Regions from separate parts of the Mus musculus genome. Here region 2 is reported to be linked to region 1. The links are microRNA targets in miRTarBase. Many come from high-throughput screens and were not tested one by one. Region 1 holds a microRNA gene; the other region holds the end of a gene's coding sequence.

Evidence for each region. Region 1 holds the annotated microRNA mmu-miR-208a-3p (AUAAGACGAGCAAAAAGCUUGU, at 2,616-2,637, shown strand). A microRNA usually pairs through its seed, bases 2 to 8, with sites in the 3' UTR of a target mRNA and lowers its output. Matches are read on the target gene's strand: a 7mer-m8 pairs with bases 2 to 8, a 7mer-A1 pairs with bases 2 to 7 and ends in A, and an 8mer does both.
Region 2: the mRNA of Pknox1 is a reported target of mmu-miR-208a-3p. Seed matches in the 3' UTR shown: 7mer-A1 at 2,476-2,482.

The regions. Positions count from the first base shown.
Region 1 is chr14:54,947,559-54,951,708 of GRCm38, reverse strand. It overlaps Mir208a (microRNA 208a), which reads left to right and starts at 2,567; the gene lies at 2,567-2,649. It overlaps Myh6 (myosin, heavy polypeptide 6, cardiac muscle, alpha), which reads left to right. Exons shown (of 39, transcript NM_001164171.1): 26 at 1,056-1,445; 27 at 1,531-1,657; 28 at 1,746-1,864; 29 at 2,175-2,371; 30 at 2,914-3,097; 31 at 3,252-3,417; 32 at 3,504-3,628. Gm52092 (a long non-coding RNA gene) reads right to left here and starts at 669. Exons shown (of 3, transcript XR_003950992.1): 1 at 195-669; 2 at 1-112.
Region 2 is chr17:31,604,359-31,608,358 of GRCm38, forward strand. It overlaps Pknox1 (Pbx/knotted 1 homeobox), which reads left to right. Exons shown (of 11, transcript NM_016670.3): 11 at 395-3,335. The coding sequence ends at 606. Among named protein-coding and RNA genes, the nearest start is that of Cbs, 31 kb to the right of the region's middle.

The sequences.
Region 1 (4,150 bases):
CAGCACTCATGTGTGGTTTGTTCCCATCTTGGCTCCATCTTCTTTATTTTACCCAGAATACTGAGCCATCCCCTGCATCTTCTGCCATAAGTCTGGGCAAGTTCTTTGGCCTCTAGGAGATAATAATGTCATTATTCTCACTGCGTCTATAGGCCCCTCCCTCTTCTGTGTAGGATCTGTGCTTCAAGTCCTACCTTCTCCACGTTGAGAGCAGAGGTGTAAGTCCCCTCTCTCCTACCTCAGGGTCTACTCTGTAGTTCATTAAAATTGTCCATTGCACCAAAAAAAAAAGAGAGAGAGAGAGAGAATTCCACAAACTTTCCCTATAGAGACAAAAGGCTAAAATGGCAAATGTGCATACTCCAGATTTAGTCAGGACCAAGTCTAAGGCCACACCAATGAGGTAGGGGTATGAAGAAGAGGGCATCTTATTGATACATAGCTTGGCTTGGAAAGGAGCAATCAAGCTACATCCTGGACCTAGGATACCTAAGGAATCCATGACATGGGGAATCTAGGTGATTAGACCTCATGGTTAGCTCAGATAATTGCAGTAGGATTTGGTTGTTCTTGAGGCAGCTTTGCTACAAATGTTAGTTTAAAAAAACAAAAAACAAAAAAAAAACCAAAAAAACAAAAAAACAAACAAAAAAAACCGAGTGCTCATTTCCTTGCCTTATAGTCAGTGGATCAGAGTCAGGTGAAACTGTTGGCTGTCTGAGGTTCATAATCTCAGGAGATCTCAGGATCCCGCTCCAAACACAGATGCTCAACACTTAGGCTGCAGATGCTCAAACTGAATCTCAGATGCTTTAGGGAAATCCTCCAAACTTTGGCTTCGGCCAATTTTCTATTCTAGGGTGTTTAGCAATGTCCCTTGCTTCTATAGCATCCTCCACACAGTTTAAAATGTCTCCAGCCATCACCAGCTATACCTAGTAGCTGAAAACCCGTGCTAGAGGTTTAGTGCGCATGGGAGCCTTTTAGAGCCCTGGAGCACGGGCCTCAAGGGAGGGGTCCAGGAAGCAGGTCTGATCCTTTGTATCCCTGGCTAGGCACGCATCGAGGAGCTGGAGGAGGAGCTGGAGGCAGAGCGCACAGCCCGGGCTAAGGTGGAGAAGCTGCGCTCTGACCTGTCCCGGGAGCTGGAGGAGATCAGTGAGAGGCTGGAGGAGGCAGGCGGGGCCACATCCGTGCAGATAGAGATGAATAAGAAGCGCGAGGCCGAGTTCCAGAAGATGCGGCGGGACCTGGAGGAGGCCACGCTGCAGCACGAGGCCACGGCGGCGGCCCTGCGCAAGAAGCATGCTGACAGCGTGGCGGAGCTGGGCGAGCAGATCGACAACCTCCAGCGGGTGAAGCAGAAGCTGGAGAAAGAGAAGAGCGAGTTCAAGCTGGAGCTGGATGACGTCACCTCCAACATGGAGCAGATCATCAAGGCCAAGGTGGGCCCTCTCAGCAGCTCCCCTCCTCCCTGCCAGTCGTGGCCCTTTCCACATTCACCTTTCCTCTGCTCATTAATGCCTGCAGGCCAACCTGGAGAAAGTGTCCCGGACACTGGAGGACCAGGCCAATGAGTACCGCGTGAAGCTGGAAGAAGCCCAGCGCTCCCTCAATGACTTCACCACACAGCGAGCCAAGCTGCAGACAGAGAACGGTGGGTGCCCCTTACCGTCCCCTAGCCTGCCCCTGGTAGCTTTGGTTTCCCCCTTCCATGGCCCAAGAACCCTTCATTCCACCTGCAGGGGAGTTGGCTAGGCAACTGGAAGAAAAGGAGGCATTGATTTCCCAGCTGACCCGAGGCAAGCTCTCCTACACCCAGCAGATGGAGGACCTCAAGAGGCAACTGGAGGAGGAAGGCAAGGTGAGGCCCATATAATGGCAGTGGGACAGACTCCGTGGCATCACTGGACACACTGTTACCTCCAAGAGTGCACCTGGATGCCAGAGGTAACCTGGTAACCTATCTCCCTACTAAATGGTCAGCCCTCCTGATCATTTAATGACTCCTTATTGGTAAAGGAGAGAGGTAGGCAAATGGAAATCACTCAAAGACATTGAGACTCCACTTCATGTGGGTGAATCTGGGTCTTGACTGAAGTAAATACGCATAAGAATCTAGAGACTGGAGGGTTGGGTTTGCTCCAATCTCCTTGATGCCCACCTCTTCCCAGGCCAAGAACGCCCTGGCCCACGCACTGCAATCATCCCGGCATGACTGTGACCTGCTGAGGGAACAGTATGAAGAAGAAATGGAGGCCAAGGCTGAGCTACAGCGTGTCCTGTCCAAGGCCAACTCAGAGGTGGCCCAGTGGAGGACCAAGTATGAGACGGATGCCATACAGAGGACGGAGGAGCTGGAGGAAGCCAAGTGAGTCCACTGTGGCTGCCCCTGGATTTGCCAAGAGAATGGAGCAGAGCGTCTGCTGTGGAGACAGGCAGAGTAGATGCAGGAAAGAGCTTTGGGGTGGGAGAACAGAGGATGGGGAGACCTGGTGAGCCATGGGAGTGTTTGGTAGAAAGCCTGAGTCCTGCAACCTGTAACGCCTGGCTGGCCCTTGCTTACTTCCTTTGACGGGTGAGCTTTTGGCCCGGGTTATACCTGACACTCACGTATAAGACGAGCAAAAAGCTTGTTGGTCAGAGGAGCTATCATCATGCAGCCTGGGCCTGAGGGAAGCGGGTGGGGGTGCACAGTCACACAGATGTGATGTATGTGTGGGAGAGTCTGAGCAGCCTGTGATGGACGTCTCTGTTCTAGGCTCCAGTAGCCCTCACATCCTCTAGGCTGGGGTTCCAACATCTTAGGGAACTGTGGGGAGAAGCTGGGTCTTTCCCATCAACACTCGGAAGGAGGAGATCATCTCACGTCCTTGTGGCTCCAAGTACAGTCACATACATTCCCCTGGACAGGAAGAAGCTGGCTCAGAGGCTGCAGGATGCAGAGGAGGCAGTGGAGGCCGTCAACGCCAAGTGTTCCTCCCTGGAGAAGACCAAGCACAGGCTGCAGAATGAGATCGAGGACCTGATGGTGGACGTGGAGCGCTCCAATGCCGCCGCCGCAGCCCTGGACAAGAAGCAGAGGAACTTTGACAAGGTAGGCTCACGGTGGGGCTGCAGACACTGTGCATGCTGCTGGTGGGGTCAGTGCCAGCTCAAGGCCACAGCATGTTCCTTGGAGGTGGGGGAGGAGGGCTGAGTCAGGAGAGGGGCCTGGGCAGTTCTGGTCACAGGGCGCTCCTTCCCTGCAGATCCTGGCTGAGTGGAAGCAGAAGTATGAGGAGTCGCAGTCAGAGCTGGAGTCTTCCCAGAAGGAGGCGCGCTCCCTGAGCACAGAGCTCTTCAAGCTCAAGAACGCCTATGAGGAGTCTCTGGAGCACCTGGAGACCTTCAAGCGGGAGAACAAGAACCTCCAGGGTGGGCGAGCTGGGGGACAGGGAAGAGCCTCAGGGAAAGGGAAGTGGGGCAAGGCATATTGATCTTTCTGGTCCTCTGATCCTCAGAGGAGATCTCAGACCTGACTGAACAGCTGGGAGAAGGGGGGAAAAACGTGCACGAGCTGGAGAAGATCCGCAAACAGCTGGAGGTGGAGAAGCTGGAGCTGCAGTCAGCCCTGGAGGAGGCTGAGGTAAGGGCCTAACTAGGCACTCTCCAGCCTGTCCTGCTGTATCCTGTCTTACCGCCTCACAGAAGTCACCCTGACCCCAGGACACAAATCTATTGGCTCCCATTCTTAGTAGACAGTCACCATGGGTATTCTTAGATACCCAGGAACAATGACTTCCCCCAAAGTTGAGTTCCTCACATTGTACAATGCCACAGTCTGGTTTGTAGGACAGAAGGCTTGCTTGCTTCCTGGCTGGAATCGGGCTATCATAATATCAGCTCAAACCACTGGGTAGGAACACAGGCTCCAGGGTCAAATGACCTAGGTTTGAACCCTGTCTTGAGACCCTCTGTGTGCCTTGCTGCCCTCATCTATAAGATGGAATTAATGTATAAACCTCATAGGATTATGTATATGATAATTATGAAGACTGAGTAAAATAACACAGTCAAGCACTTACTAGCCATGCTTGCTGCGCATTTCTAAGAACTTGGGACAGCCCGGGATTAGGGCTATAGACACTTCAACCTTTACTGTGATTTT
Region 2 (4,000 bases), not on the chromosome of region 1:
AGCTTTGGGGACAGTTTTGAATTTCTTTATGTTTTTGAGATGCTGAATGTGGAACCACTGGCCTCACTGCTGCTCTCCCAGTGAGTCCATTCTGGCCCCAGCACACACAAACACATGCACACACACACACACACACACACACACACACACACAGTCATTGGCTTTGGTGCTCTCTCCTGTCTGTTCCATGCTGAGTTGTCTCTGGCACCCTTCCTGCCACCACCTTCCTTCACGTGATACCAATCCTGTCCTGGCGCCTTTCTAGAAGTGTGGGAGGTTTGTGCCCTCCTTTCCTGACTGACACACGGGTGTAGACTGTACAAGCAGGCAGCACCTGGCTGTGCTTTGCTCTAAGGACTACTGAAGGCGGTGACCCTGGTGTGCTCTGCTGCAGGTGCCGTTGTGACCATCACCACACCTGTAAACATGAATGTGGACAGCCTTCAGTCCCTGTCCTCAGACGGGGCCACCCTGGCCGTACAGCAGGTCATGATGGCAGGGCAGAGTGAGGACGAGTCGGTGGATAGCACAGAGGATGAGGGCGGCGCCCTGGCGCCCACACACATCAGCGGGCTGGTGCTGGAGAACAGCGACTCCCTTCAGTAGGAAGCACCAACGGGGTCAGTGTGGAGCTGGGCGCTGGACTCTTCACTGTTTGCACAGCAAGCATCTTACAGTTGTCTTTGTAACCTGTTTTATATGTAGATATAGAAGGTGCACTTTTGTATTTCGCAGCAAGCTTCAAGACGTCTTTGCCGGTGCAGCGACTTCCTTCAGATGTGCGTGTATGGGTTTTTAATGCTAGAAACGTGGCCCCTGCCCCTTGAGTCCTTGACGAGATTAAGGAACAGTGCTGCCATTTTCTAAAATTCTGCAGTTGCAATTGAGTCGTGTGGTTTACAGCAGGTCTGGGGGCGGCTGCTGGTGCCGCTCACAGGTCTGAAAGATGACCTGCACGCAGGCTGCAGAGCGAGAGGGCTCTGGCCCCGGTGGGCTGTGGGTGCCCACCACACACTTCAGTTCTCTCAGGCAGCATTTGCCTGTTTCATTTGCTATATAGAAAAAGAAACTCCTATTTTTACCTTGCTGGGATTATTGGATAAAAAGCTATTTTTATAAATCAGTTATTAATTGGATTATGACTATATTGAGGATAAATTTCTAGAGAAGCAACAGCACATGCTTGTCTTTCGATTCGGAATGTTCTGAAAGGCGGCCACCTGCTCATGGTCTCCTGCTCTCTGGGGAGGAGAGGGCTCGCCTCAGCTGCTAAAAGGAAACAACTGTCAAGTGAGCTTTTGACATCTCCAGTTTCTGCTCATGTGTGATGCAGACTGCTACATTTTACACTCGCTAGAGCATCTTACACAGTGTACTCAGTAGGACGTACGGTAAGTGAGGGCTCTGCCACGCCTAGTCTGACTGCAGTTCCATGGCTGCCTGGCTATGTTAACTGGGTGGTAATTTTAGATTTTTTTTTTTTAGTTAAAACCTGTTATATAGAGAATGTTTATTATAAACTAATATAAAGTGTGTTCTGCCCCACTGGCTCAGAGCTGGTGTAAACAGCAAACACCTAAACTGTCTTTCTTACTGGCAGACACCTAGAAGTTAGAACCATGGCTGTAACGTGGCGGTGGGGCCCACTGGTGGCTCTCACTGTCACTCACTCTCCAGGCTCCTCCCCCTCTCTGTTACCACTACAGACTCAGGACAGTTTGAGGACCTCATTTCTGAGTGTCAAGGCTGAGATTTGGTTTGGTTTGTTTGGGTCTACTTGGGAAGCTTTTTCTTAGGAAACAGGCATCTGTCTTCACAGTGGTACCTAGGCCACCTGCAGATAGGGAACAGCTGTCTAGGGGTCCCTGCCTTGGGCCCCACGGTTACCCCACGGTTACCTCTTTAGCTAATTCAGGAATAGTTCACCATCACCCCAAATGTCTTGATTCTCTTCAGCCATTGAGCACACCTGAACAGCCAAGTAGTCAGCAAAAAGAATGGGGGCTCCGTTTGAACCACTTAAGGTGCGTCCAAGACAGCAAAATAAAACCCCCAGAACTTGCCAGCAACTCCTTTGAGGAGAGAATACTATTTCAAGCAGTCTTTCCCTTACCTATTTACAAACTGTTTTAACAGTTTAAGTCCGGCATACAAAAGCCTGCACGATCAGCTGGCTCTATTAGGTTTAGAGCAGAAGTACATCTCTCTTGTGAGCCCTGCAGAGCTCTGCCAGTCCCCAAAATGGAAGCACAGCCCCTGCTGCACCAGCTGGTGGCGCTCTAGCTGGGATTCGAACACCATGCTCTACCGTGTCCTTTCCAGTTGAAATCATCTTTCCTAAGCACAGAACTCTAGCCTGCTAAATCAAAGGAATATCATGAAGATCGTAAGAGAACCCCAGGCACGGTGACACACTCCTGTAATCCCAACACTCAGGAACCTGAGACAGGAGGCAAGCCTGGGCTACTTGACCCTGTCTTAAAAAAAAAAAGCTAGTAAAAGAGCTGGCACAGGGTCATATCCTTTCACCTCCCCGTGCACAGAGATGCTTTTAAGTGCTCCCCATGAGGCGAGCCATGCTGGTTCATAGAGTCCCTGCCCAGCAGATTTGGTGTCTGCCAGTTGCACCTTTGAGACACCTGCTTGCTGGGCACAATGGCATATTCCTGTAAACAAGCACTTAGGAGGCTGAAGCAGGAGGATTGCTGCAAGGTCGAGTTGGCCTCTGGTGTGTAGTGAAACCCAGTTTCAAAAAAAAAAAAAAAAAATCGAGCAAAACTCCTGCTCGCCTTTCCTTGGCCAGTGCAGAAAACCTTTGAGCTTTGTTTAAATGGTCAGACTCCCAAACATTGGAGCCTTTTGAATGTGTTCTGAGACCTACAGTCAACTCGTGTCATTCCTGCTGTTTGGCTGTCTAGCAGAAATCTAGACTGGCTGACCCACTCCTCCGGTGGGCTCAGGTTTTCTGCTTTCTTGATTCCAGATTGTCAAATAGAAGTGTATATGCAATATGCACTGTGACCCTTGCGGCTAGGGCTGACGGGCCACTGTGTAGCCTGCTGGGTGGCCAGTGCACCTGTGGGGGCAGCGGGAGACTTGCTCCTCCCCCATGGCTGGCAGGGAAATGCCCATCCCAGAGGCCCCTCCCGCAGGTTGTGACTGGAACACAGCAGGCTGCCTTCTTCAGTTAAGTTCGGTCTTTGAAACTGACAATCTTTAAAATGTGAATACTGTAACAATATGTTTTCTTGGATTGTTGTCTTTAAAAGGATTTTTGTGAAGCAATTGATTTATCAAAGAAAAAAAAAATTAAAACCAGAAACATGCCTTGTGGACGATTGATTCTGTAAAGCTTGTGCCACCAAAGTGGACTTTGTCACTCCTAGGCAAGATCCTCAAGATTGCCACACACCTTGCAGTGACACCAGGGTGGGGAGTTGAGGCTACCCTAGCTGTTTGGCTTCAATTAGTTGACATTTTCTCAAGGAAAAAAAAAACTGCAAAGCAGATTTTTCATCGTAACATTTCATACACTGGATTATTTTGGCCTAACAAGAGAATGATTGATGGGTCCAGACCTGTCACCTTTGCTGGTCCCACACTGTAAAACCCCTTGCAAGGTGCCCCTGGACACGTGCAGGAGGTGTTGCAGGTCCCCAGTTTGTGCTTGGAACCGTGGACCAACAGGCTGTTTTCCTTCAGAAGTGTATCTAAGGGCCAGGGGTGATGCTCTCAGTTGGTATAGCGCTTGCCTGGCATGCACAGAACCCTGGGTTCAGTGGCCAGCACCCCATAATCCGGGCAATTGGGAGTAGAGGGTCAGAAAAGCAGAAGTCCAAGCTCAAAGTCGACTGCTTCCTAAGTCTGAGACAGGACAGACCATGTCTCAAAAGAACATCTGAAATTGACTTTGGGTGGCCAATGGCTGGAAGCATTTGACTTTCAGAAGGTGGAGATATGTGTCCTTGAACTCTGCTGTCCAAGGTGGATAGATAAGACC